Linked DNA regions of Lepisosteus oculatus. The protein of the gene in region 1 purifies or fractionates together with the protein of each later gene. This does not show direct contact. Links are inferred from orthologs where the notes say so. Each region holds a gene or a part of one and is shown on either strand. Other genes may lie near its edges. The genes, in order: jun, jdp2b, cop1 and dhx9.

Evidence for each region.
Region 2: the proteins of jun (region 1) and jdp2b purify together in Homo sapiens (co-immunoprecipitation; 3 studies listed by BioGRID and IntAct, with this or other methods). This does not show direct contact. The link is inferred for Lepisosteus oculatus from reciprocal best matches to the Homo sapiens genes JUN and JDP2.
Region 3: the proteins of jun (region 1) and cop1 purify together in Homo sapiens (affinity purification with western blotting; 9 studies listed by BioGRID and IntAct, counting the BioPlex papers as one, with this or other methods). This does not show direct contact. The link is inferred for Lepisosteus oculatus from reciprocal best matches to the Homo sapiens genes JUN and COP1.
Region 4: the proteins of jun (region 1) and dhx9 purify together in Homo sapiens (affinity purification with mass spectrometry; 3 studies listed by BioGRID and IntAct, with this or other methods). This does not show direct contact. The link is inferred for Lepisosteus oculatus from reciprocal best matches to the Homo sapiens genes JUN and DHX9.

What each region holds. Positions count from the first base shown.
Region 1 is NC_090704.1:17,935,124-17,942,825, reverse strand, and holds jun (transcription factor Jun), read left to right. Parts: upstream 1-4,922; 5' UTR 4,923-5,474; coding exon 5,475-6,443; 3' UTR 6,444-7,201; downstream 7,202-7,702. UniProt on the Homo sapiens protein: Transcription factor that recognizes and binds to the AP-1 consensus motif 5'-TGA[GC]TCA-3'.
Region 2 is NC_090703.1:8,547,436-8,554,736, reverse strand, and holds the start of jdp2b (jun dimerization protein 2), read right to left. Parts: upstream 3,008-7,301; 5' UTR 2,894-3,007; coding exon 2,806-2,893; intron 1-2,805. UniProt on the Homo sapiens protein: Component of the AP-1 transcription factor that represses transactivation mediated by the Jun family of proteins.
Region 3 is NC_090704.1:6,368,392-6,375,531, reverse strand, and holds the start of cop1 (E3 ubiquitin-protein ligase COP1), read left to right. Parts: upstream 1-4,128; 5' UTR 4,129-4,358; intron 4,359-4,439; 5' UTR 4,440-4,503; coding exon 4,504-4,895; intron 4,896-6,298; coding exon 6,299-6,358; intron 6,359-7,140. UniProt on the Homo sapiens protein: E3 ubiquitin-protein ligase that mediates ubiquitination and subsequent proteasomal degradation of target proteins.
Region 4 is NC_090704.1:7,602,813-7,610,204, forward strand, and holds the start of dhx9 (ATP-dependent RNA helicase A), read left to right. Parts: upstream 1-4,373; 5' UTR 4,374-4,421; intron 4,422-4,472; exon of another isoform or gene 4,473-4,571; intron 4,572-5,155; 5' UTR 5,156-5,173; coding exon 5,174-5,284; intron 5,285-5,655; coding exon 5,656-5,796; intron 5,797-5,879; coding exon 5,880-6,012; intron 6,013-6,280; coding exon 6,281-6,420; intron 6,421-6,711; coding exon 6,712-6,860; intron 6,861-6,923; exon of another isoform or gene 6,924-7,392. UniProt on the Homo sapiens protein: Multifunctional ATP-dependent nucleic acid helicase that unwinds DNA and RNA in a 3' to 5' direction and that plays important roles in many processes, such as DNA replication, transcriptional activation, post-transcriptional RNA regulation, mRNA translation and RNA-mediated gene silencing.

The DNA.
Region 1 (7,702 bases):
CCAGGGCAGCAATGCTAACAAACTGTGCCACCCACTTTTTACTCATAAACACAAAAATGCAGATAATGAAAAAGATTTAATGCACCATAGTTCTGTTCCTAGAATCAATTTAAGAGATATAAAAATCAACCAAAGGTGAAAAACAAAAGTATATCAAATTAATAAAGTCAGATGACACAATGCCATGTTTTGAGAAGAGCACTTTATTATATTAAAAGGAAAACTTATTGGGTGTTTGTTGCTCATATTCTGTAAACAGTAAATATTTGTCTGCAAAAGAGCAACATTTCAGAACTAAATGAAGAACAAACAAAGAAAGCCTTGTGGAATGTGTGGTTCTTTCATTATCTTATCTTGAAAGTTTAAACTGCTCGTTCTTTGCAAGAAAGGTGGCTTGTGTGTAGCCACTTCTCCTGTGTTCAAAAATAACAGGTCTTGTCTAAGCTCTGTTTAAGCATTACACAACTGGAAACAAACTGAGTACAAAACAGCAGTACATGTTATTACTTCACAAGCAAGGACATATTACTTAGAAAATGAAAGATTGTAGGGTTTGTCACACAATAAAGCTTTTCAACACATCAATGTTGAGAAAGTGAAACTCTGTGTGTTGACCAGACTGACAGATTTCACATAATGCAGAATTTATGCGTATGCAAAGGCAAAACAGTTTATCAGAAAAGTTTATGAGTAATGAGTAAAATGTAATCAATTAAATTAGGCATTTATAGAACCATGTTAAGGTATTAGGTATTAATTTTACTTTTGCACAGAATATCAGAATAACATAATATCTATACTGCTGCTGAAGTAACCTTTTCCACATTGTACACTCCTGTTTTCCTTGTTACATTAACCATCAAATCTTTGCAAGATTTTTACCATAAAACTCCAGGATGTTTGTGGTGTTGTTCTAACTATAAGAAAGCCTTCTATGCTTCAGTTTTCCTCTGTAGTTCAATATTACTTGCAGTAGAAATGTTAGATATTTCTATTCACTTGTATAAATGGAAGCTACAGAACATATCACAAACATGGAGATCTCAGCAGCAATGTAACAAGACATGGGAGACATCAACAAAGACATTAAGAATGGATCCAATTATAGACAAGTACTAATACTTTCCATCAATCATGGAAAGCCACCTTAGTTAATGCTACTTGTTATGCATTGTAGTAAGCTCAAAGAGTGCAAGATTGCTAATATTTTATTCATGTAATAGCTCTCTCAGTCAGGCTCTTAGTTTGATAAATACTGGATGGCCAGGCTGTTATTTATTATCCACTGAAAGGTTTACTAGTGGAGCTCATATGATTTTGGGAGAGGTCCCAGCAGTAAAATGAGCTTTCAAATAAGAGGAAAATACATTTTAAATTGTTCATCATTGTGAAGTTCAAATGTCATGAGCAAAAAACTCTTTTAGAAGCAAATCTGTTAAAAAGACAGAAACAAAGAAACGCTTTCTCCTATATTATTGTATCGCCATGTCTCATTTATTTCTTGCGTGTCCGTGAGCCAGAATACAACCTTGTAAACGATTAGAGACAGTTAAAACCCGGAGTAGTAATTTAGACCACTAAATAAACGCAGCCGGATGGCACAGTGGCGTGGGGGGTTAGCGCAGCTCAGCTTCTGTGCTGCTTGACCCCCGAGTCTGTGGGTTTTCTCTGGTCCAAAACCACGCTGTCCTAGTTAACTGTCATCTCTGACATTACACCGTGTGCGTGTTCAAGAGAATGTGTATGTGCATTTCCTGCGAACGACTGAGTAGGGGTAGCCTACCTTGAAAGGACAAATCGATTACGGATAATGGAAGGACCCAGACTCTGGAATTTAATATGCGCAGTGCTGAGTTTCTGAATTGTTCTTTAAAAAAAATAATTCACGAACGCGCCCTTGTATTCAACCACTAGCACAAGCAGTCCCTTTACACTCTGAAAACCTGCGATCATTTTTTTAACCCATTATATGTATTTTATTTTCGTAATTTGCATTTCTTTTGTGTTCTTTGGCGTCTATATTAAAACGTTTTCTACAGTTAAAGGTGTCTGAGATTTCTCTAAATGTATATACATATTAATCTAGAAATCTATTTTCCACAGTTCGGGTAAAACGCTGCTCTCTTCTTGACGAACTTTGCGATCGCTGTGTTACAGCAACAAAAAACCGGGGAGGGGGGGACAAGTGAATTTTAAAACGCGGTATCCTTTCATTACCATTTCCAGATATACTCAAGCGTATCGACCAAGTGCAGTGTCATGTTTACGTGATGTACAGAGACCGAGCTCGGGCTGTTGCAACAATGTGAAACTTATTAGGGACATGCTCAAAAAACACAGTAAAAATAAAAACGCAAAGGCAAGAGTAGCCGAACAAGTACTTCTACGAGATCCCTATCGTTAAGCAACTACTGTATGTATTGTTTGGGCATGAGGAAATTACTTTTCGGTTTTTTTTATATATATATATCCACTTCTGATTACCTCCGATTATTTAAAAACAGATTTTTAAAATTATTGATATGAACCTATTTTATTCAAACCGTATGCCTCTCTGTAACCTTTCTCTAGATCAAAACACTTTCATTTGAATCCGGAGAGTCTTTACCGAGATACAAAACCATATTAAAGCAGATAATTATTCTATTTCCTCTGATAAACCTCCCGGCTGTGTGTGGTGGGGCGGAGACTTACATCTAAGAGGCTGAACAACAGTGTTTGTACAAAATCTCCACATATCCGCAGATGTCTATGAATGATTTATAAAGTAAATATATAAAAACTTCAGTCGGATAAACTCGCGATGGAATAGGCATACATAACATAGTGTATATGCCATTTACTGTATGTGTGCTGTGAGAGCTTCACCTTTCGTATTTATTAAGTCTTTTCATCACACCTAAACAGAAAAAGCACTACTTCTGATGGTTATTTCATTAAATGAAAGTATCAGGTTATTTCTGTATATATAATCTTAATTTTTCACTTACGATTTATTTATATCGGGTGTTACGTAGTGTGCATCAGCGATTAGTTAAAATAAATGTAAATACTACAACCGTTTATGACAATTAGACGCAGTATAACAACGACGAAATATAACAAACGCATACTATACATATAAATATACGACAATGTAAACTTTTCTTTCAAAAATTACTCCATACTTGAGTACACAAATGAACATTCATTTGCTATGTGCTTTTTTCGATAAGTGTCCCAGGACATTCAAAACTTGGACAAAGTACCTTAAGCAACGTGTCAGTTATATCAACCTTTAAAGGTATTTAAACTCTGAACGCAAACATCTTTAAAGAAGAAATACAAGACGACAGAAGTATTTGATAAATGGCACAAGAATGAACTAGACAGAGGTACAGTACTGGGATAATCGTTTTCAACAGAATAAGAACAGAATAGAACAGAATACGCGTTTTGTACTCTTTGTATCACAGACGATTCAGCACAATATGGAATAGTAAGCAACTGCTTTCTTCAAAGGGTAACACACATGCGTTAGCACAAACAACATTTTGAAGCTTTATAATATTGTTAAATTTGAAACGACATTTCTCTAATTGGTGTCTTTAAAACAAGACAAATTAGGATAAGAGAACAAGATGCTGCCCGTCCTAACCTAAACAATTAATCATTAAACTGATATTCGCTAAAACAGTTGCATTTTAACAATCCTACTAAAGCTAAAAAAGCAGGAAGTATTAGTACTGGAGTCCAAGGCTTGAAAACACCTTACATAACGGTATACCCAACATTGTTACTATCCACAAAGTAGGAAAAATGTACAGCGAAGTAAAGTCTACACCTTTGTGTTTTCATGGTATAGAAAAACATGTGAGTCACTACCTGTACCTAGTAAAAACTGAAAATATTTTAATAAAAAAGTTGTCTTCCCGTGTTTGGATGAATTTTGTAGTTTAGAGAGCACCCCTTATGCTAAGTCCCACAGACGTTTGAGAGACCCCTGCTGTAACTTTACCTTAAACCCGCCTCCTGCTTTAATTCGATTGGCGGGCGACGCTCGGACAACTGGACGTGTATCATGTCAATATCACAACAGACGACCTAATCCATCGATTGACCCCGTTGTGACCAGCGCGCTAAACCTAACCGAGACATGTCCCTGCATGTAATACAAACAGACTCGCAAAACATTTATAATTCCACTGGTGAGATCAATTATTTATCAAGGTTTAAAATTAATCATTCATATTATGATGTAGTGTGTTCTTACTTTAACATGTTTTATTTAAATTAACATTGTTTTTACAAGCCAAAACAAAGTTTGACAAATGGTTTCTCAAAAGTGTATTATTTTCACATGTGATTCCATTGCTGCATCAACAGCTGTACTGAATTTGTAAAATAATCGTATTTTAGTATTTAATAGTTTTAATCCGTCTACTCTTGGTAGTGTGTCGTACCTTGCACCATCTTCAGCCCTTATTAGGTCTATTCCCAATAATAAAGTGTCATTAAACAGAGATACAGGTAAAATGCATATATGTCCCAAGATTTAAACTTTCAAGTACGTTTTACCAGCTTTAACATAAAAATTGTGTTTTAATCATACACCAATAATTATCGTAAAAACTAAAAAATTAATACATTTAAAAAACAAAACGAAAATGATATTCCTTTAACAATTAAATATATCTAACCGCTGTCTGTGTAACTAAGCGGGTAACCAGATATTCAAAAACAATACGTAATCCCATAATGCACAGTACTTCGAATTACCTCATCCCATCAGCCACCGCGAGAAGTAGAATCTTCTGGGTGGTCGTCTAGGCAACGCACCTTATCTGAAAATAAGGGCACGCCCAGTGTATTGCCTGCAGCCAATAAGAAACTTCACGCATTACATCATTGCTATTTTTAGTGAGGCAGTACCAGCAGATAAGGTTTGCCTCCACGCTGGAACAGCTCAGAGTATACAGACTTTAGCAGAGTTCAACACCCAAGTCTAAAGAGGTGTATAAGCCCCCTAGCAACTTCAGCACTTAACACGTTTCTTCAGAAGACAACTGAAGAGTACCACAAAAGGCACTTTTAACAGACACTGCTTCAGTTACACCCCGAGACTGTGCGTGTCATTGAGCAAGCTGACTCAGAGAAGTGTCGCTAATAAGGAAGAAAACTTTTTTCCCCATTTGACTGGGCTTTGGGGAGTTCAACTTAAACATCCAAGTTCGAAGAAGCTGACAAACCCCCGAGTAGCAACAGACGTTAAAGACGGGCTACACTGGACAAGTACTTCTACAACAACTTTGAAACTGAAGAAAAAAGGGCTTTCTTCTATAAAGAACAGACTTTTTTTCATTGCTGAAAAGTCGAGGAGGACTGACAAGTCGAACTTTGACCGAGGTGGACTTTCAATAACTACAGGTAAAACAAGGGAAACTTTTTTGTCTCCTGTGTGAAAAATATTTGAACTGAGGTTTGGTCAAACTTCTATGTCTACCAAGATGGAACCTACTTTCTACGATGACTCGCTGAATGCTACCTTCTCTCAGCACGAAACAACCGGCTACGGATATAACCCTAAAGCCCTGAAACAAAACATGACCCTGAATCTCTCAGATCCAACGGTCTCTCTCAAACCTCACCTGCGGGCAAAAGCCAATGACATCCTGACGTCTCCGGATGTCGGACTGCTCAAATTAGCCTCCCCGGAGTTGGAGCGGCTTATCATTCAGTCCAGCAACGGTCTCATCACCACAACCCCGACTCCGACACAGTTCCTGTGCCCGAAAAATGTCACGGACGAGCAAGAAGGGTTCGCCGAAGGTTTCGTCAGGGCACTGGCTGAGTTGCACCACCAGAACATGCCCGGTGTGCCCAGTGTCACCTCGGCACCGCAGAGCAACATTAACAACGCGATGGCACCTGTTTCCTCTATGGCTGGTAATACAGTTTTCAATTCCAGCATGCGTTCCGATCCGCCCGTGTACGCCGACCTCAGCACGTTCAATCCCACCATGAGCACCGCAGCGGCGCCCAGCTACAGCAATGCCAACACAAACATGAGCTACCCACCTCCGCCGCACCAGCACCCCATGAACTCGCAGTTGCCAGTTCAGCACCCGCGGCTCCAAGCTTTGAAAGAGGAGCCGCAGACTGTACCCGAGATGCCCGGCGAGACCCCTCCCCTCTCCCCCATAGACATGGAGAGCCAGGAGAGGATCAAGGCCGAGAGAAAGCGCATGAGGAACAGGATCGCTGCTTCTAAGTGCCGGAAGAGGAAGCTAGAGAGGATTTCCAGGCTGGAGGAAAAAGTGAAGACGCTCAAATCTCAGAACTCTGAACTGGCCTCCACCGCGAACATGCTCCGGGAGCAAGTGGCCCAGCTGAAACAGAAGGTCATGAATCATGTCAACAGCGGGTGCCAGCTCATGTTGACACAGCAGCTGCAAACCTTCTGAAGGAGAACGCGCGAGCGAGTTAAAGACTAATTGCAGAGAAATCAAGGACGAAACTTAAAAGGCTATACGAGCTATAGCAGCGGTCAGTTAGTATGCAGCAGTGAGAGAAAGAAACGGACTGAGAGAAAGACGAGAGACTGAGAGGAAGGAGGCTGCCTGACTGCCTGAGCCCCGCGCGCACAGGAGTTCCGACTTGACTGAAGTCCGAAACTTCAGAAGCTGAGTTTGTCGGTAGCAAAAGACAAGGCCACAAACAGCACAGCTTTGTAAATGTTCTGTTTCATGCTTTTTTCCCTGAAAGAACGAAAAGAGAGAGACCACGTTGACCAAGTTTTGCATGGACCTTACCTTCGAAGATCATTCAGTATTAAAAGATTTAAGTAAAACAAAATACACTGCAATAGAAACAGTAGGTTGCCTGTATGTAACGCCATGGAAAGGCGTGTACTGTGATGAAAGAAGGCTGAATACTTTTGAAAAAAGTTGCCTGAAGTTTGGGTTATGTACGCAAGGTTTTTTTTTCGTTACTTTTATGGCAACTCACGTACTTTCAATACAAAAAGCTTCAAGCCTTTGTAAATTTGTTTTATGTTGCTTAATGGGGTTTAACCCATTGTTATTTGTAAATAAGATTAAATTTTGAGGACTTATGTTTACCATTTGTAATAAATATATAATTTTTTATGTTGGTTTTCTGAAGATTTCAGAAACTAATCGATTATATTTAAGGACCGTGTAAATAAAGTATATAAAATGAATGTCTGTAATGTATCTCTTTTCTAAGTTTTGGGTGGTGGGTTTGTAGTTGTATAAGGAAAATGGTTTTCTTCCCTAAACGTTTTTCCCCCACTTTTTTCATATAACGAGCAAGTTAAAATGTTCTGAAACTGATCCGTCGATAACTGCAGGCATTCTTCTGTACTCTCCACATCCTACGCAAAATTCCCTCCCTCCTGTTTTCAGAAGTGGTAGGTACTGCACTGCCTCTTTCAAGTTTGAAAGCTCAAGAGGAAATGCGTGTTCTTTTATACACTAGGATTCTTTATACCACAAAAGCAACAGTTAAGTGCCTAGCTGACCAGACTTTTGAAAACTGAGATATTGATATTAATTGGATCTGGTGTAAAAAAAAAAGTTCCTGTCAATTTTAAACAGGCATTCAAAAAGTCCTAGCCTTTTTTGTATTGAAAACAAATCTTGAGTGAATCACATCTTTTAGTATGTGTAATTGAGCTTGATTTCAGGTGGTCTTTATGTGA
Region 2 (7,301 bases), on another chromosome or scaffold:
AAAAACAACAACATAGGACTCCTTAACATTACCCAAACATAAACACAAAATTACCCAAAATATTTTAAGTCTCTTCTCCTTAATTAAGAGCAATGTCATCTTTTTTCACAAAAATACAACAGATGGCTTTTAATAGCTGTCCTTGTCCCTTTGAATAAACCAGAGGCTTCAGGGTTTTGAAATATTTTCCTACCATTTATGTCCATTGCTTCCTTTGTCATTTAGAGGCTGACCGTAACATTTTGGGTGTACACCTTACAAGTTCTAGAACTGGAATTAAAAACCTGAAAATGTTCAACTTAAACATTCAATTCCTATAGATGTTTGTTTTCAAACAAAATCACTCATTCAGGCCACAATGGAATAAATACATAGGCTAACTACAGTATACTGACATCATATTGAAACTGTTGAGGTCTCACTTAAATAAATTGATGGGGTTTCAATGATAAAAGACCTGACAGCAACAAGATCATTAATAGGGCCCATATGACTTTTGTAACACCAATTATTTTAAACCATTTTGACTTGCTTGGACACCCACAAAGAGAACGAAGGGGGAAAAATCTTAAAGCAAAACATCTTATTTCACCATCTACTGAGGACATTTTTTTTGGTCCTGCTGGTACATCTCCATGACTGCATTTATTAAGCTTCATGAGTTTTCTGATCCTTTTCTCTTCAGGTGTTGCCAGAATGCTTAGTAAATAGTTTTAGTAAAAATCTGTTTTCTGAATTTGAACTGATCAGACACTTACACCCAAATAAATAAACTCCATCTCGTTTTCCACAAAGACATCTAATTTAAAAAAAAATGGTTTTCTTTTAGGTACTTATGAGACGTTTTCTTAGGAACACCTGTCTTTAAATATTCAAAATGTTTCCCTGGAAGAGTTAAGCAAACTCTGCACTAGAGCACAAGGGTTTCACCATTATACCGTAGTTTTATTAGAAATATCAAAAGAAACAACAGTCTAAATCACAGCCCTCAGCTATAGCATATCATACTAAATCCCAAATGTTAAGGTAAATTCAATTTGCTGGAATACTCCGAGGAGGGATGGATCTTTTTTTTTTTTTTAAATCGCTTCGAGGCAGTCAAAAGTATATGAAGAACACATGACGTCCCATAATCGTTAAACTTGTACTTGTCCTCCGTGATCGTGCAAACAAAAAAATATAGTGTATTAAGTTTTCTGAGTGCAAAGTGTTTTAATATAACATTGGGGAAAAAACATACGCACGTATAGTACATAACACGATGTTACTAGACCTCCGTGACTATGACAGAAAAGCGTAATTTCAGCATTTTTACAGGAAGCCATGTTCATGAAACTCGGTTCCAAGGGGAAATGCTTTCATTCCAAATGAACCAAGTGTGACAAACCCAGTTATTGATACATAAGCAGTGCCACACTGTAGAAAACTGCCTACTAGCACAGACATGGCACATTAAGCTTGGGTCATCGCACCGCACAGGAAATATTTCTGAAGAATTCGCCGGGAAAGCAAGTTGAGCTGCACAGATTTATGTTCCATTCCTGCGTTTCACGGGGAAAACGCTTCATCTCATAGCAGTTCATCTGCGTTTAGCCCCGCAAAGGATGCATCAACTACAGAACGCCCACATTAATTCGACCATTTAAAATGTGTATATATACACATTTTTAAAGCTGCGGCCCTTTGATATCAAAGCATGAATCATGTGTTTCACGAACACCTACACAAGTAATACCCAAATTAATACCTGCACGGAATTCTCATGTTCCTGCTGTGCATTATTTTTCACAACCACATCTGTTACAGCTTTCAGCGATTCAGCAGGCATGTAGCACATTGTCATTTTTTGACAAACATTAGTCGAACAGCTAAGTTGAATTCCTTATTATTGCAAGTGCAAAAACGATTTACTTCTGTGGTCTTTAAGTCACTTATTAAACATGCTTCCTACCCTACTCTATTCGCTTTAGAGGAGTTCCAATTTGTTTTTAGAGACAATCCTCACTTGAAAAAGACACATTGTGTAAAGACAAATTTGTAATAAGTTCTAAGAACTAAAGAATTGCAAAAACCGAACGTGTAAAAAGAATGATGAAGCAGTAACAACTTTGAAGTACTTGTGACATTTCATCTCAAGGCAAATTAACTTGAAAATGTGCTCAACTCAAATCATCATCTGCTCTAGAAGGGGCAAAACGTTTTCCTCCATTTGTGGATAAACGTTCACAAAACCCATTTTTAAAAAACTACACCAAACAACTTCCAAAGCGGAAGTTGTTGTTCAATTAGTAATGTTCTCTGTCTTACGTAACGTCGTGTAACTTCTGTAGCTAATTAAACGCCGTTAACTTTAATGGTCTAACAACAGAGCTCACACTAATGCAAACAAGTCTACGTAAAAAAAAACCGGATCGACACGCATTTTCATGTTTCATCTGACTCTCATTAGTTACTTTTCTGTCTCAAATCTCTAGTTATTATTGCTGGAAAAAAGCAAGCGAAAGTGCCGAGTACTCAATATTGTGCAACATATTGCAAAAAATGTGCAGACGAAGAAAGGGCACCCAGCTACACAATGCATGCAAAACAATAGTATTGCTTACAAAAAAAATAGATAATATAACTGACAATCCTACACCCAGATAGGCATGACGCTTGTTCTGTTCATACACCAGGCACTGCAGTCCGAAACCTTGTTTTAAAAAAAGTGGCCAAACTTTATTCAAACTCGGTGCGTGACTCTAACTGATAGATGTCCAATTATAATATTTTTTGTCAAAAAAAAAAAAGATCTCTTCTATTTACCTGACTTTACTCCTAAATCCGATAGACGTTCTTTTTTCAGGTCAGCTGAAGGTCGGACGTAGGTTTTAAAGAGTGGAAAGCGTTGCATCAGCCCGTTTTTATACCGATCCCTATCTGGGAGGGTTTGGGAATGCGGAACCGACTTAAGCCTCCGCCATACGTAAGCAGGGATGTAAAAATACAGTACAACGCAGAAGAGAGGGAGAAGAAGAGAGAAAAAAATCTGGGTGGCTCCACCCCTAGCGACCAGAAAACAAACAACACGGCAACTGTTTCAGCTTCCAGCTGGAGAGACCTCGTGCAGTCCACCCACGCGAGGCACACGGGAATCCCTTGTAAATAAATGCACCACACCTGACGTACGTAACGTGTCACCACGGGACCGAAAAAGAAACTAAACATGATGCAATTAAATCAATACTAAAACAAAGCAGCGCCGGTATCAAACAAAACTAAAAATCTTCCATTTTGCCGTCGTGCATCCTCCACTGGTATTGCAGACCTATGACAAAAATGAGAAACTCACAAAACGAAAGTGGTTGTTCAAAATAAAGCTGTTAGTGAAGCCATCAGCTGTCCCAACAGGACAAGCATATTAGTAATACCCTGTATGTAGCAGGGACACCGAAGCTACACACTAAAGTACTCACGCACAACGTCTAACGAGGTCTATTTCTCTGCGATAGCGGTTTGTGGTCTTCCTTTTCTGCCCAGATGAAACTGACATCGTGCACGAGGTTCTCACTACAACATAACTTCTGCGTGTGTGATACGAGCTCGCTTGCGATTTCACACTCTCCTGTGTCGTGGTCGCTGGGGGGTGTGTGTGTGAGAAATAACTCCACGGAAAACGCTGCCCTGGCGCAGAGAACGCAGAAAGTCTCGAGTAAGAAGCAGCTGGAAGCCAAACGGTTATGTTTTAATTTTCAAGGAGCCCAGCACCTTCATTATAAACTAACATTTCGATCCCGGAATCCCTGAATTCTCTATTTACACATGACTGTGTGGGCTAGATTTAACAGCAACCGCACCTGTGATGACACCACAGTAAACGGTCTTATCAGCAACAATGATGAAACCGCATACAGGAGCGAGGTAGCAGAGCTGGTGGAGTGATGCCACAACAGCAACCCCACACGTAACATCGGCAAAACAAAAGGGATTATAGTGGACTTCAGGAGGCGCTGTGGACGTCGGACTCCCATCATCATTCACTGGGCTCCAGTCGAAACTGTCAGCACCTTCAGGTTCCTCGGTCTCCAGATCACTGAGGGGCTGAGCTGGCCAGAGAACACTGCTGCCATCCTCACTAAAGCCCACCAGCGCCTTCACTTCCTGAGACAGTTAAGGAAGTGGGGGTTGAGCAAGACAACACTCACCAATTTTTACCGTAATACCATTGAGAGTGTCCTGACCGGTGGTATTACGGTGTGGTGTGGTGGAGCCACAGTACAGGAGAGAAAAGCCATACAGAGGGTTGTGAGGTCCGCGCAGAAGATCACTGGGACCGAGCTACCCTCCATCGACCAGATATATCTCGATCGCTGCCACAACCGGGCTCGAGCTACACTTCGGGACCCAATTCACCCTGGCCACGATCTGTTTTCACCCCTGGGTTCTGGTAGGAGGTATCTCAGTATCAGAACACTGACAAATAGATGCAAAAACAGTTTCTTCCCCCAAACAGTCCGCATCTTAAATAGCTCAAATTGGCACCTGCACATATTAGCACCTGCACTTTAAGGTACTGCACTGTTGGCACTATGTCCTGTCTTGGCTGTATTATCATGTCTATTGTCTAAACTTATTTTCCATGTCTGTTTGTCATTTGTGCCTAATTTTTTTTCTCTAATGTTACTGGGTACAGCTGAACGAGTAAGCATTCCAATACACTTGTTGTATATGGCAAATAAAGAAATCTTAAATCTTAAATCTTGAATCGTGAATCGTGAATCGTGAATCGTGAATCTTGCCAGGTTTCTCTTCAATTTGAATTCTCGCTGAGTACTATAATGGAAGTCCCTTTTTCCCCTCTCATCACAGAGTCTCCAGTGTGTGCTTTTAACGGTGACTGGACTGAAATTCAGCAGCTACAGCTGAAGCAAGCCCGATCAACTACTGAGGGGCAAGAGACACAGCTTCAACCCGCAGGAGATAAAAAGGGGGTTTTACAATTCAGTATAAAAGGCACATCCAGAGAAATAAGTACTGTGACCTTTATTTCTCAAAAGAGGGGATAGTATCAAACTTCTATAATATTCCTGTGCAATTATCATCATTTACATTCAAGAGTTTCATTATTACGGTTTTTGAGGATGTTAACAGAAACTGCACGAAAAGGGAGAAACTGGACAAACAGGCCCCTGTTGTTTCCTTTATAGATGCAGATGTAAGACCGTGGAAATATTGATATTTTTATATATTAAGAGGGATGAAGCCAGGTTTTATGCAATTACTATATAACAATCTTTTATCCTTTAACGCAGCATTTGTAAGATAATATGATATTAGAGTGCCATGTTTAAGGCACTGAAGAAAGGCACTGAGTGTTTTGGAAAGGGAAATACTGGGTATTATAAGAAAGGCCCTATTACTGATGCCGTGCCCATATAGTGCAAGTACAAAGACTGCACTATATGGGCCAGCACGAGGTATAAATCACTTAGGTCTGCTAAGATGCAGTTTATGGAAGGAACCTTCTCTCAATGATAGCGTGAGAGAGCTGGACAATCAATCACTGCAGTATTTATTTTCCTCCACATAAATTAAAGTAAGGATATAAAGGAAGGACTTTTCCACGAGGTTACAATAAAATAATTCGTCTGTACGGAGGGCAGACATAACAGTAACATTTAAACTCATTTTTGTTCTGCTTTAGGTTTAAAAGCACTTACTCTGGAAGAAAATAAGAACCTCTTTGTGATGAAAAACAATTCTAAGATACCCTGACAGACTTCAACCAACACTCAAAGTTGAGTTATTTTTTATCTGATTTGTTTTCCAGTAACAAACCAAAGAGCGTATTTCCTCAGCACTGAAACGGTTCAGTGGCCTGAAATGGTTGAATCTCTGGTGCCTGCTGAAATATTGGAGAATGCCCCTGGACTATGCAAAAGCCCTTTCCACCCTAAAACTCTGTGCAGTAGAGCCAGCCTTCTTGTCTCTGGCTATGGAGGCTCTTTCTAAGGAAAGACAAAGAACTCATGTATACAATGATTATCAAACTACCTTCTACTGCCATACCTTGGACTGCTGCCACCACAGAACTCTACTAATTTTCCAAATCAAACGTGGGCATAAGTTTTTTCTTGCTCCCTGCATGAACCAATTTCCTCTTCAGAATTTTGTACCTGTAGACTCATCTTAGGACCATCTGCACCAGTGACTGTGTAGCAAAAACGCAAAGACTGTTGCTCTGAAGAAAATTACAACCAAAGCACTTTTTGATGAATCTGCTTGCATGATTCACAAGCTAGCATTAACAAATGTGGATTTAATTTAGCGAAAAAGTCCAGTCTAAAGTAACAGCCTTGTTATCGCCAAGTTGAAGGAACGTTTTTTGATTGTGAGAGTGTTAGTCAGCAGAGCTTTTGCTTAATCTTCCAGACACATGTCCTGTATTCACATCATCATCTCAATGGCACAGACAGTTGTGGTGTCTGCCTGGGCGACACACCACAGTACTCAGACAACTGCGGTTTATTATCCACACCAAAATACACCTATAAGTTGTTCTCTAAAAAAATTCTAAACTGGGGCCATCAGTGATTTATGTCCTCTTCCTGGGAGAATTGATGCGTCAGTTTATCTAAATATAGATAATGATTTACGAAAGAAACCAAAGAAAAAGCAGAACAGCAATCTATAAAAGTTGTGCAACTGTTCGAAAAAAAATTGATTTATCAAAATCACTTACACAAGCCCTTCAGCTGTCAGGGGATGTTTTCAATTTCATTGTTTTTGTAAAGGATTTTTCATTTTTCAGACTTTTCAGATTAATCCATCAGCCTCAAGGAATTGTTCTTCACATGATGTGTGAGCAAACCCAGACGTGATTGTATAAGGAAGGCTACAATACTCACTAAAAAACAATCATCACTTTGAATCAGGTTTTTGTGAAAATATACAATGTTGTTTGAAGCTAAGCGCAAAATATGTAATTAATATAAATGAATGTACTCTATTTAATCTCAATATCATCAGCACAAAGCACAGTACACCCTTCAGCTGTGTGCTCAGATTATTTACATTACAATGGAAAGAGCCAATTATCTCTTTTGAGTGCAGCCAGAACAAAACTTGAGCTGTTTCTACTGAGGAAACATGGAACCTTCTGATGAGAGATTTGTCTATTTTAACTGGACTCATTTGAACATGAGAAGCAGAGTGTCTCAGGCATACATCACTGTGCACAACTCAACAAAGCCGGGGTTGACATCTTTCTGCAATATGAGGAAGATAAAAGCCAGAATTAATGTTCACATTATTGTGGCTAA
Region 3 (7,140 bases), about 12 Mb from region 1:
CCCTTAAAATCGAATTAATCTGCAGTAATTAATTGAACAAGGCAGCGATGGGTCTCATTATCAGCAAGAAACCTTAAGAGAACAGAAAATGACCCACTATGTTTAGGGTTTATCATATCAAAACTTAAACAATTCCTATTTTTTGGGATTCACACAATTGTGGGCGACATTCCAGGATAACTGGCGGGTTACTGAATCGTGGCTACTGCACATAGCAAAAAACTGCAACAAAGTTCTGTAGCTGTAAAAAGAGGTTCATGAAATTAAGATACACCTTTCATGGGCTGATGGGTTACTTAGTCACCTAGATGGCAATAGTAATACAGTAGTGTATAATGAGGTCATGAGGATTTCCACCTTAAAATGTACTGTATGGTTCATCATCAAAACTCCATTCTAGATCACAGAGGAAAAGAAAACTGCACCGAGGTCCCAATATTTTGTTTTTGTCCACATCCCAGCAGTCAGCAGAAAACCCATTCTCTGAGAACGAGTGTCAACAGAGCCATCTGCTTTTTGTCATACTGTAACCCCAGAGCATGACCAGTTTAGCATTGCTTGTCATAAGGTGGACCTTCACAGCATGGACTGTTATCTTCGTCTAAACCCAGGTCAGTGGCAAGGATAGCCAGTTCATAGGGAGCTGAGAATCCTCAAGTTGATACTGCCTTATGTAAAATCACAGAAGATCTCATGTATCTGTTTACTGCTTGTGAGAGATCCTGGCCACAATGAGATATTAAAACAGTGTAAGATCACTTTATTAGCCATATACAATTTCTTGCATTAAGAATTTGTCTTCTCGCATACCCCAGCTTGCTTTCCATGAGACACAGACACAGACAGGGAGAGAAGCTCGGGGTCAGAGTGCAGGGTCAGCCATTGTACAGCGCCCAAGGAGCAATTGGGGTTAAGGGCCTTGCTCAGGGGCCCAACGGAGTAGGATTCCTCTGCCGGCCCCGAGATTTGAAGTGGCAACTGCTCTGCCCCCCAGTATATGAACTAGGTTTTTCTTAAACTAAGAGACCTTGCAGGATATTATTCTATGCGTTTCTCAGAATGAAAGATTTTCTAAATATGATGTTTATGAATTTGTGTTTTTGGCATGATAACTTGTCAAAATGTATGCAGCATGCGAGCCAAGACACTCTTGCTAATGAGAAGACATAACTCTCTCAAAATAATATAATTTAACTGAATCAAATGGAGTTGAAAAAAAAAGTTGCTTTTAATGGAAATTGCCTGTGAAGAAGATGACAAATAGTCATTTGTATATTAAGGAAATAAAATTGTGATCAACACCCAGTGGAGAGTACAACTATGACTGAAAAAATATTTGCTTACTAATGTATTTTTTTTTCATACAAGTGAGTTCATTCTTACTAAGAAATTAGGATTTTTTTTTAATATGGGTGATATTACACAAAAGTCCCATGCTGACATTTTCCTGTACTGTAAATTATATATGAACTTAAGTGGGCTGAATATCTATGCATTGAAACACTTTAATTATAGAACAGGTATGGCTGTATGGCTTTAACTGAATACCAAGTACAGTACCATGAGCTGTTTGTTCTACTGAAAAGAAATGCTCAGTTTACATTATTTTTCAATGTATGTATTTGATTCCAGACTGGAGAAAAGCAGTTTCAATTTCAGCTGAGTGAAAATGTTCTTGTAAGGTAATAATGATTTTAATAAATACAACACGAGGAAACTGTAAAATCATCACAACATTGCTTCAGATAGTCTTCCCAGACACCTGCTCCAGTACTGATTTCATTGCATAACTGTATTATTCCTTACCAATAAAATTCTGACCTCGTAAAAGACACAATTCAGAGAAGCACAGATGGACTACCTTTTTTAAAGCTCTGTATATTACTCTTTTGGGTCAGATTTCAATGAAAATGAGGAAAGGAAAAGACTTTTTGAAGAAGTGCCTTGGAGGAGAGGGCAAATTAATAAGATGTGGGAGATTCAGTCATATCTGACAAAACAGGACCCTGTGGCAGATTCAGGAGGGCTTTTATGGCTCAGCTTGGAACACTTCCATTAATTTTGCACTTGCCAGCAAGAATTTTTATCATGATATGGGTTTGAGGTACTGGCCCCTTGAGAGATCAGAAAATAAACCACTGGTGGTCCACTTTTTCTTATGTGCTGCCAAAGAGGCACTTACTGTGTCAAAGTTGCCTACCTTTCAAAATAACTGCTTTAAAATATTAACTCAGAGCTGAGATGAGAGCTAAAGGATACGCATTCTTATTTAAACAATGATAGAAATGCAAACATTGGGGACTAGAATTTATTTCTCCTATTAAAAGCTGTTTTCTAGAATTAACCTTGCCTGCCTTGTTAGAAATTCTTACCCATAGCACAACATGGCTTCATTTCCACAATTTGGGTATTTATAAATGGTCTGTTTAGACACTCCCCACACAGAACCTTCGGCACTCCTCCCAGCCCACCTTTGTTTTGTTAGAGAGACCTCTCTGAAAACTCAAAGGGGTTTTAGAGCAGACCTGATCTCCCACCATCACAATGTGCCCAAATTCCACTACCTAAAAACAACAACTGTTAAGAAAAAAATACCTCAGCTACTTAATTTAGAGGAGATACAAAAAAACAAACAAAATATAAATTATTTAAGTTTAGCATCTTAATGTATGGGGAGAAAAACAATATTTTGTGATGTTGCATTCAAAAAGACCTTTTGGGAGAATTAGAAAGTATTACCATAGACACAACAAAAAAACGTATATGAGTAATTATGATAGAGGACAGTTTCAGCTTCTGGAGAGACTTAGCCAAAGCAAAAAGACACTACAAAAAAATAAAATAAAAGTGCTGCAGAATCTTAAAGCTGGACCATACAAGCTGTTTCACCTGCTATATTGTAATGAAAAATGCAAGAAAATGCTCACTCTTCATTTTGTGGACAGAGGAGACCTATTGCTGACAGAACAAATAAACTGTACTTTGCTGCTACGTACTGTAGCTTGTCCTGCAACTGAACGTGTTGCTGTTTGTGTAGTTTTCCTCTATACATGAATATAAAGTAATAAAACACAAAAAGAAACAAGCTCGCCACCTTGTGTTAAAACTGAGAAAATTTAATGCGGGAATACAGTTCATACAGGAGAAAACAGCTAATAAAACCAAAAATATAATGTTTTTATACAACATAGGTACAATTTTTGACATGTTCATTTGATTACATTGTATTTTTCTTTCATGGCTCAAATTTCATTTACATGTCTTTATAAATATTTACTTATTCAGAAAGGACAAGTACGCACACCTACTGTGATAAGAAGAAAGAAAGCATCTTAATCCATTACATCTTAATATAAGCATCATCTGCAAATGTTCCCAAAATACTTTCGAAAATCATCATTAAGCCATCGGTAGCACAGCTGTAGTATAAAAATCAATAATTGTATGACACAATGTATTTTATAGCTCTTTGTACAATTATTTTGAAGTATACGTGTTTTAATTGCACTGTATTTTTGAGTACATATCGCCCTCATGTGGATATTCCCGGTATTATTAGAAACATGCAATGAAGGGTTATTTTTCAATATTATTTATGATTATTTCAGAAAGTTGTGACCAACTAATCTGCACATGTGTCGAAATGAGTCATTACCATCACATATATGTGGTTTGTTGTTATTTTTCGAATAACCTCTTTTGTTGTAACCTTTCTGGTTGGAAAAAAAATCAAAATAACCGCTTTTTCCGTTATCAAATAGAGCTGCAATAAAACTGTCGTGGCATTTCAACATTTGCAATGTAACTTTTTTGCATTAAAATTAAGTTGACATACATAATCCATGGGTATATTTTTTTTTATTAAGACTAGTTACAAAACAAGAAAAGCGTTACCAGCCTGTCGTCGTGATAATAAATTCTTCCCTCGAAATGAATGGGTGTTGTGTATATATAAGTACTGCACACTATAGGCCTACAGCTCAAGTAATTATACCGTATATCCCTACTTTGTGTGAATAGGTTGTATATAAAAAAAAAAACACCTATCCTCTTCAAATGTAATTTAAACCAAATGGATGTTTTACGTGACTTACGAAGTCCCGCTATTTTTTTTGTACCTGTACGTGGGAAGTCCTGCGTGTTGACGCAGCGGCGCAAAGGTGGCAGCTGTGCGGTCCCGCACTGCTCTGTAACCGGGGAGATCGCTTGTAGTTTCCAAGTCTCGGTTTGGCAGCGGAGCTTTGTTCGCAGGATTTGCTGTTTAGCTCCTTTCCGTGTCTTTCAGGAAAGTGATAGCTTTCGACAGTTTCAACAGCCTGATCGCATTCCCTGAAATAACCCGATCGGAGTGACTGCTGGTGAGGTTTTTTTTTTTTTTTTTGGGGGGGGGGGGGGGGTTGTGTCTTTCTCCTGAGTTTCTAAGTCTTTAAACCTTGCAGCCCGGATGCAGTGAGCAGGAGCCTGCGGCCTGCCAGAGCGGAGTTGGAGCAGCGGCCTCGAGTTATGTCAACCCCCCGAAAGCCGCAGGTTGGAGGAGCGGCGGGCTCAAGGCCTGGGACGAGTAGCAGTAGCAGCAGCAGCACCACCACCACCAGCAACAGCAACAGCAACAGCAGCAGCACCAGTAGCAGCAATAATGCCAGAAACACAAGCAGCGGGAGTGGTAACACTAGTAATGGGACCAATTCTGCAAATGTTGTCTCTTCACGGACACTGGGAAGTGGAGCCGAGGGGTTACCTGTGGCCGCTTTGGGGATCCCTACTTCCCGAGTTACTCCAGCTTCTCTGGCCAGACCCGGCTCGTCCTCTGGAAGCAGCAGAAAACGTCCTCTTCCAACACCCCTTTGCAATGGCCTCATAAACTCGTACGAAGACAAGAGCAACGACTTTGTGTGGTGAGTTATTTTTGTTGTTGTTTTGAGGGGGGGCATTTAAATTCCATAAGGCCGACATGAATCATGCCGACTGAGGCATTTTTTTGGATTGTTCTGAAAGTGAAGAAATTAAGATACCGGTGCTGGTTTTTGGTATTGTGTTTTTTGCCCCCTGAATGTTTATATATATATATTCCCCATTTTATAAATAGTACAACACGTAATTACTCTCATCTGCACTATTGAAACATTGTGCGAAACGGGACCCAACATCAGCTCGTAAAATCAATCATCTCCCATCAGACATTTGTAGTTATTATGTTTTTGAGTAGGACATTTTCGAGTTCGACGAGGATTTGAAATTACAGACGACAGCATAATGGTCAAAATTAAAAAAATAGATTCAGCCCCATTTAGATGCATTTTTTTGGCGACAGCTTTACATTCTGGATTTGTGGGCTATACAATAATGTGTATTCCTGCCTGCAGCTGAGTTACTGCGTTTACTGGTACACGTTTGTCTTTATTCGAATGAATGGATGTTGTAGGTCAAACATTTGTCTGGTCTGAATTGGTCACGTTTTTTTTTCTCTCTCCTGAAAATGGCAGTTTAGTACTAAGCAAGCCAAACTAATTTCCTGCTTTACACAACACAGTAGTTGGTTTTTGGTTGTCAGATGTCAACAAACGTTCGGGATGCCACAGTGAAAATGGAAGGTTTTTCCTCCTCTTTGCCTTTTCGGCAAAAAAAAGTTTTCTTTTGTTCTTACAAAGTACAGTACCTCTTGCACCCCAGGATTAAGACAGTGCCCGTACGTTGCTGATCACTGTCAAACGTGATGTGTTAAACCTGTCGCAATCTTTCAGGACTGGCTGATTGCTTAATGTTTGTTCTTTTTGGCTTTGCAAAGTCTTGACATTATGTCCTACTTTTATGTGATGCCTACATAATTATTAGCATGTTATTTTTTTGTCCATGATTTTTTTTTATTTAGGAACAAATTTCTTTTCTGACTATTGTTGAGAGCTTAAGATAATTCAGTTGTTATATGCCATTTTCATGGTCCTTCAGCAATAAAACATTATTGTGTCTTCCAATTGCACACCTCCTTACCACCATAAATCCGCTCTATACTGTATTGTACAATAAATGATTAACTCTCGTTTTTGTTTTGTTTTTTCTAATTTTGTATCTTAAGGAAATGTGCTATATAGTGCTTGGTACTGTTTTCTAAAGGCCCATACATATTCTATTTAATTATAGCAATATATCCGTGTTCGTTTTTAATGATCGTGAAGTCTCATTTGTGCAAAGTGTGGTGATCTTTAAAAATATAGACTGTACTAGCTTTAGTGAATTGTGTAAATTAAATAATCTGTTGCAATATGATTTGAATTGTTTTTAATGTGAACCTTTTTTTCAGCCCAATCTGTTTTGAAATGATTGAGGAAGCTCATATGACAAAATGTGGGCACAGCTTTTGGTAAGTAATCATTTAAGCATTAAAAGAAGAAAAATGTATCAAAAAATTTGTGGTGCACTTAAGGTAGCATTAGTTGGGATTTTAATTAGCTCTTTTATGTATTATTCTGCATTACTCAGCATAGTTTCACAACTACCTTAATAGAGAAAGTGCAAAGCTACGTTAACAAAGTACAGCAGAAATCACATGTGAAAAGTTAAGTTAAAATTTCTGTCACATAGTTTCTTCATTTGAGACTTGCCATACTAAGCACCTTCAGTATCTGAATGTTTTATGCTGACTTCATGATTTATTTGATAAACGCTATTAAAGTAGCTTTTTTGGTAATGATAATCTACTGTACTACTAGTGAACTGCTTGACGTGTATGCTATTAGTAGATTCCTTAATTGCTGCAGTCTATTCTAGTTGTAGACAGTGCTTTTTATTGTAGGAAAATGTAATTGTTGGATTCAGTCTGTCTCATTTTTGTCAGTACTGGTGGGTTTTGGAAGTTTTATAAAAATGTAAGTTTTATTTCCCTATAATCATTTTGTGATTAACACAGAGTGCATTTTTATACAAATGGGTTTTAGGATATGCTAAATCTTAATTTTATTGCACAGAGCTATATGCTCTAAGCTTGTGCTTTTATTGTTGTTTTTAGAACTTAAATGTGCAGTAAAATGTTTTTGGGAACATAGGAATTAGAGTATTTTTTTAATATGTAATCATCTTATATTTTAAATGAACAGTGATGAAAAAGTCTGTTTTTTATGCACCGTTTGTCAGCATTTTTTTTAC
Region 4 (7,392 bases), about 10 Mb from region 1:
TACAGAAAGTGGTTTAGATCATTTCTCTTATATTCCAAAAAAGATTCTCAATCATAGACCTTTTTCTCAAAGATTACTTGCATATAACGAACACTCTGTGGTTAAAAACTTAATTTAACATCAGTGCAAGTAAAATGAATGGATTCTATTTAAGAAATAGGGAAAAAAAAATCAGTCTTTGGAATGATCGGCTTTACACTGTGAAATGTGCTGTGCTGCAGTACAACATTATAACCTGTGAGAAAAATGTTAATGGATTGTTTGCATTTATGCCCGATTCTGAATCCAGGGTTAGATTTTCCTTTCTCAGATTCGCATCGAACAATTATTTTAAAGCGCCTGTTTGGAGTAGACTTCAGGTCTAAGGTCAAACCGCTCGGAGGTGCCCAAGCCACTGGCTGTTTTTGTCAGATTTGTTTTGTTGTTGAGGGGTACAGGGAAGTTGCATTTTTGTAACACTTCAGGAAAAAAAAAATTGGAACTAAATATAATATGCGCACCGACGAATTAATTGTATTTTTTGTTTTAAATCTGCTTGGCCATTAGCAGAAAGACTAATGATTGGGCATCCTTCCAGCGAGAGCCTTGATCTTTCCAGGGGAATGTGTGTGGACATGCAAACTAGCTTTACGAAAAACCCCTCCATGCTGCAGGAAGCCTGCTAAATGTAGTTGCCACATACTTCCATCTTAATAATTTCACCTTCCTGCAAGGGAGATAATAATTAAGCTAATTTTTTGTTCAGCATTATATGCAGATGAAACAGCATAAAAAGTCCAAAATTAGGAAAATGAAATGCCTTAATATGGGTTACAACCCTCCATAGAACACAGAAAACCATTCAAGTCACACATCTTTAGTATTATATAAACCAGAAGCAATACAAACAAGTTTAACTCATTTCATAAAGGTAAACATACAGTGTAGTTGTATTCTACTGGTATGTAATGAGGTAGCCCATGGAATAATTTATTCCAAAACACAATGCCATTTTTGAACATAATAAGAGGACATTCAACCCATTTAGCTTATTGTGTAGTAAGTAGCTAATTCCTTAAACCATAGTATACATCAGGTATTTAGCTAAAATCATTTAAAATGGATTCATCAAGTATCAGCAGTTTTAACTGTCCATTTCTGTGCTCAATAGGTATGGTGATCAAGGAGAGCACATTTCCCTCAGCAGTGGATTAAGGATTGCTCTTTTTTACAGACTTCTTGCAGTCTTCATTTCCTAGCATTTACATTTTAACTGTCCTTTCATCTTTATTTTTATTTATTTTTTGAGATGGCACCCTGATAACTAAAGTTTGTGGGAGGAATAAGAATTGATAAAACTCAGTTTTGCTGAAATTGAATAAATTAATCATTTCTTCGAAGGGTATAGGAGGAAAATCCATCTCGTAGGCATATCATGTCATAACTGCCTTAAACAAAGATGATAAATGAATATGTCTAGAAGACAGAAACCAAATCTGGCTTTTGGGATAGATAACTAAGCCCACATTAAAGGAAAATAAAAAATAAAAAATGAGCCTACCTCTGAGACATTACCTTTCATAGTTCGTAACTCTGATAAGATGAATGCCTTGTTAATATAAGCACAGCAGCATTTTTAATGCTTACAGATATGAGATACACAATGCATAACAATGGCATATAGCTAGATTTTGTCAGAAACATGCATCTTCAACCAAGGCTTAGTTCCAAAGAACAGTTACTACATATGAGGGGGGACTTTAGCCCTCTTGAAAGGTATCCCCCCCCTATTTTGAGAAGTGTACCAAATATTCCCACAATCATATTGACCCCCTCTCACTCTTGTGGTGTCAAAGGGGTTGTGGACACCCTCTTGGGCATGGGCAGGCTCCCAAACCCAGCCCTTTTTAAAAGCTCTTTTGGGTTCCTTTTCTTCTTTACACACACTCTCCTTCAAGAGTGGTGATCACACTGGCCTCCCTCATCAGAGTAACAGGATACAAGACTCCACCTTCTGTTACTTCTAGTCCCTTTGCTTCAGAATATCAAGGTGACCAAGTTCATCCTGTTGGACTCACCGCCCCACACCCACACCCATACACCTTGACATCCTCATGCTGAACTCACAGCTGCCAGCACACCTCACTCTGTGCCCAGCCACCACTGCACTATCTCCCTAGAGGGTATAGCTAGATAGACCCCACTTGTTTGCCCCAACACCAATGCATCACCAGGGGGAGAGTCCCTCTACCACACAAGCCACTCTGGTGCACGCACACACACGCTAATCAAATCACAACTCACTCATCCAGCGGACAACAACAGCCCTGCTCTCACACCCTAGAAAGATGCTGTCCTTTTGAATCTTTCAGGGATCTCATAAAGCTCCGTTTCTTCTAATCAGTCTCCTCCCAGACTGACAGTCTTACTCTTTTCCCTCACAACTCCATCTGGAAATGGAGTTCTTCTCCAGCCCATCACGGGGTTTACTACAGCGGCTAATAAAGCCTCAGTTCACTCCTTCAAAGCGGCGCACTCTTCAGACATCGCCCAGTCTACAGCAGAGCATCCACACTCGGGGAAAGCTAATCTCCCTCTTCCTCTTCCTCGTCCTCTTCCTCGTCCTCGTCCTCGTCCTCGTCCTCGTCCTCGTCCTCGTCCTCGTCCTCGTCCTCGTCCTCGTCCTCGTCCTCGTCCTCGTCCTCGTCCTCGTCCCACCACCACCACCACCACCACCACCACCACCATAACTACAGCAAGACCAAACCCCTGTTACATCTTTTTCTCTTTTCAAGACGTTTTAAACCACTCCCACACCTGCCGTTCATTCCACTTATTCAGGCCAGGTGTGGTTTGCACGGCAACGCGTCTCCCTTAATCTGGGGCTCCGTCCCCCAGACCACAATCTACTTTAAAACATGGGCAGTTGAGGGAAGGCGTTATTCATTTTTTTTTACCAAAGTTTTCAAGTTTTTTAAAAATAATTTTAAAGGTAAGCAAACAATTGCAATACTTTATTCATCCCAAAGGACCAATTTAAGATGGTAGATAATAGTAAAAACCATGCTAAAGTTTTCATTTACAAAAAAAGCGATTGATTCATACGTGATATTATATATTATATAGGGGATATATGCGCAACATTGTAGTTTCCTTGTTCAGAACATATTCCTGAACCAAATTAACAGGAACAGTTTCAGAAAAAAAAAAGCTGTCTATGCTTGGATCACATCAGATCGGGTACGTGATTTTAATTTATAAGGACTTGTTTACAAAGACTATTCCAGTAAACAGGTAAAACTTGTACACCCACGTTTCCATGCTGGTTCACTGGCAGGGTAGTGTAATGAAAATGCGGTAAAATGATAAATTGATTTAATAAGCAAATATGGACTTTGAAGGCTCAAGAATGTCCCAAGCACCAGAGAGACCTCTACAGGTGTCATTGAGTATCTGCACGGTATGAATTGCTAATTCCCTAGGTCCTCCCACACACAATTACATGCGGAAAGACTACTGCTCATGCAGTTTTGAAGATGCAGTCTAACAACCTTTTTTTAAGTGTCAATATACAGTGGCATATTAATCCGTGTAAACGGTTGTATGCTATTATCAGCTATAGGTTTCACTTTTGCATATTTACGCATGGATGTATTCTACAACAGTATTTGGGGTTTGACAGATAATTCAACTTTGTATAATCTGAGTTGCATCAGGGTACTAAAGCTATTGTTTTCTATTAAATGCAGTTAGGCTGAATAGTTCTATATTCGAAATCTCAGCAACTTTGAGAATAACAATTTGATCACGGTCATTCTAAAAGCAGAAAAATCCCAAAACTATTAAACATCTAGATTAAAATTCACTCGAACTTTATGCAAACATGGGCCAATATTCTACGAGACCTCGGGGAAAAAAACATTTTATTGGAATTTCATTTTTTCAAAAACCTGCCTTCTGCCCTTTCCTTCTGCGTGCACAAATTAGACATTAAAAAGGTCTGTATCCTACAAAACATGAGAATGTAAAGTGTAAACATAATGCTAAATAAAGTACCTTTTCTCCAAGTACCAAGTTTTCTTTTTACCTTAATAAATTTATATTGCTCGGCAACAATTTATACCTTGAATGATACACAAATTCCCTATATAGAAGGAACACTACATCACTAAACGTCCTAAATTTTGAAATGTTTGCCACAACCATGTCTATCAAATAATGCACACAGACGGTCAACGTGTGGCGTTTTTTACACCATATTGCTGCGGTTAACAGTCTTAAGGTTAGATTTTACGGTGAGACTGATTAATACGATAACTTTATTTTCTGGAAGACCGTGGTCCAATACTGGATGGCCCCGCCCCCGATATTATAGCTTGCTTCCGGGACGGCCATTTTGTATTTTGGTGAGGAAGTGGGTTCCTTTGCGACTGTTTATACAGGTTTGTGGGCCATTTATCTTGAAATTCTGTTTTGCAGACGTGAAAATGTGTGTGCAATTCAGAAAGATACCAAATATCCAGTGAAGCTGTACTGTTCAATGAATTGTGATAGCTTCAAGCCGGTAATTGCGAGTTAGCCTCTATTAACTGGTGAGATACGGGTTTTTGTGTCTCTGCATACCACACTGCGATACTCTGGTGCTGCATTTCAGTTGCTTTGTAACTCAATGATATGATAGCAATGTTAGCAATATGTTTTCAGATATGTTTGAAGGTGCCACGCTCCGCACCTTCATTTAGATTTATTTTCTTGTCTGTGCAAACCTAAACTCTACACGCAAGAGGTTTTACAAGGGCATGAGTACGTGCAGATAATGTAGAAAACATGGGTCCAACTGAAAGAATGCTTCATTTTTACAGAGCCAAAAACGATTCTGGCAATTGTGCTTTAAGCTTTCATCGTTTATTCACATGCAAAATCCTCATCAGCTACTCAGCAGTAGCACAGCAAAAGTGTTGATCTTGAAAATGTCTACATAGTACAGTAGTGTTTAGTGTGCACTGAGTACTGCGGTCACGCACAGTGGGAGTTTTCAATTGATCTTTTGAAAATGTTGTATTCTAAGATGTATTTTATACGTGCACTCACACTTTTAGTGATATATATACATAGTTTCTGATTTTTCCGTTCCATGTTATTTTTTTTGTCAACATTTCATTCTTACACTTATCAGGAGTATTGTCAGCGCACGATGGGTGACATTAAAAACTTCCTTTACGCCTGGTGTGGAAAGAGGAAAGTCACTCCCAACTATGAAATTCGAGCAGCTGGAAACAAAAACCGACAGAAATTTATGTGTGAGGTATGCATCTTGTTGTATGTCCTGTGTACTTTTTTTTTTCAGGTTGACTTCTGTATGATCTGTTTCAATGCAAGGCAGAACAAGTAGGTTAGCCTTAATATGTGGATGGTTCTACATTTATCCTGCTGCTTTATAGGTGATTACAGCTTCTTCGGAGTCATCTTCTTAAACCTACTTCAAATATCTGACAAATAATTCATCAGCAAGACCAAAAATAGGGATTAGGAAAATGTAAATACTTCTTTCTCTTTAACAATGGCTGCTTTGTTTTAGACTTCCAGCAGTTTTAAAACGGATCAGTGGTTCGGGAAGCTTGCGTGTTGTCAGATTGCCGCTAAAATGTGCAGTTTAATTCACTTGTGTCCTCTCAGGTCCGTGTCGAGGGTTTCAACTACACTGGAATGGGAAACTCCACCAATAAGAAGGATGCTCAAGCCAACGCTGCCAGAGATTTCGTCAATTACCTTGTCCGTATGGGGGAAGTGAATGCTAGTGACGTCCCTGCATTGGGGGTTAGTAGGCGAATGTATTTGTAAATGGGTGTTAAGGTTACTGGTTAGTTGCTTTTATCCCAATGTTTTCTTTTGGTTTAAAGGCCAGTTTACCAGCCAGTGATTGTCCTGATGGTGGAGGAGGGGGAGGAGCAGGTGCAGGCAGCGGCGGCGGCTTTGGAAATCTGCCTCCAAACGGACCTATTCCTCCACATCTGATTGTAAAGGCTGAGCAAGGTGAGATGCCAGGAGATCCCTGGAGCAAGTAATAATGGGGACTGATTACACGTGGTTGTCATATGAACATATCAGACTGCCACTTGGCTGGCAGATGGATAATTAGAGCTTAATAGTGTTTTCTATAGGTAAAAAAAGAAAGTGTGTGTGTAGTGCTAATGGTATCATCTATTAACAGTATAGTGACAGTATATACTAAACTGATGGACAGTGATATGGTAAAATGATTGTTGATTTGACCAGGAAAACTTCGTTGTACACAACTCAGGTTCTGAAGCAGGACCTAGCTCGGGACCTGTTCCAGGGGTGACTGGTTTGGGCTATTCTGGTTTTAACAATGCCCAGTGGGATCGTGGCGCCAATCTTAAGGATTACTACTCAAAGAAGGAGGAACAAGAAGCACAAGCAGTAAGCCTTATTAATCCATTATTCTGCAGTTTTCCAAGCTGGTTAACAGAATGGTTTTCAAACTTCATTTAATAAAGGAAAACATTGATGCATTCTATTTTTTCGGTCTAATGTAAGTAACTTTATGATACTTGACATGAGATTAGTTTCTAGAGAATCTTTATAAAGCTATGGGTCAAATTTCCTTTCAGACTTTCCATAGAGAAGGTGCTTCCATAACCCTTTCCTTTTAAATGTTACACAGATGTCCATTATTACCAGTAACTCCTGCTTTTTTTTTTTGTCTTGTAGACTCTCGAGTCTGAAGAAGTTGATTTGAATGCTGGGCTTCATGGTAACTGGACTCTAGAGAATGCCAAAGCCCGTCTGAACCAGTTCTTTCAGAAGGAAAAGAACCAGTCAGACTACAAATACAGCCAAGTTGGGCCTGACCACAACAGGTCTGGGGGATCCACTGGAGGTTCTTTTGTCAGAAAATGTTTTTTGGTCATTTGTCCATTCCTTTGATATTCAGCTTTTCACCTTTTACTAGTGTTATGTGAACCATGCTTTGAGTGAATAGTGAAAAATGTTATGGCAGCATCTCTGTTATGCAAATGTGATGATGATATGAAGTTATTTAAATGAGGAGCGTTAGAAGCTTTTAGTTTTGGCAGGTCAAGAGTTCTTAAGACTATATAACACTATGATCTTATTAATGCATTTAAACTCAGTTATAACTTTTTGGCTAAGTTACTGTGAAGCAGTTTTAGTGTTTTTCTAAGACATCGGCTTCTGTATCTGCATAAAAGTGTTGAAATGTGTATGCTGCTCTGCTGAAGCTGCAGTGTTTCTGTGAATTGATAATGTCCTAGGTGGGCAAGCCTTAAATCAAACTGTCTCCACTCTTTTGTGCATGTGAAAGGGTTAGCTGGGTTTGAATTGCAAAAACATAAGTGTCCTGATTTATAAAGTAAGGCAGTGGCTCTAGGT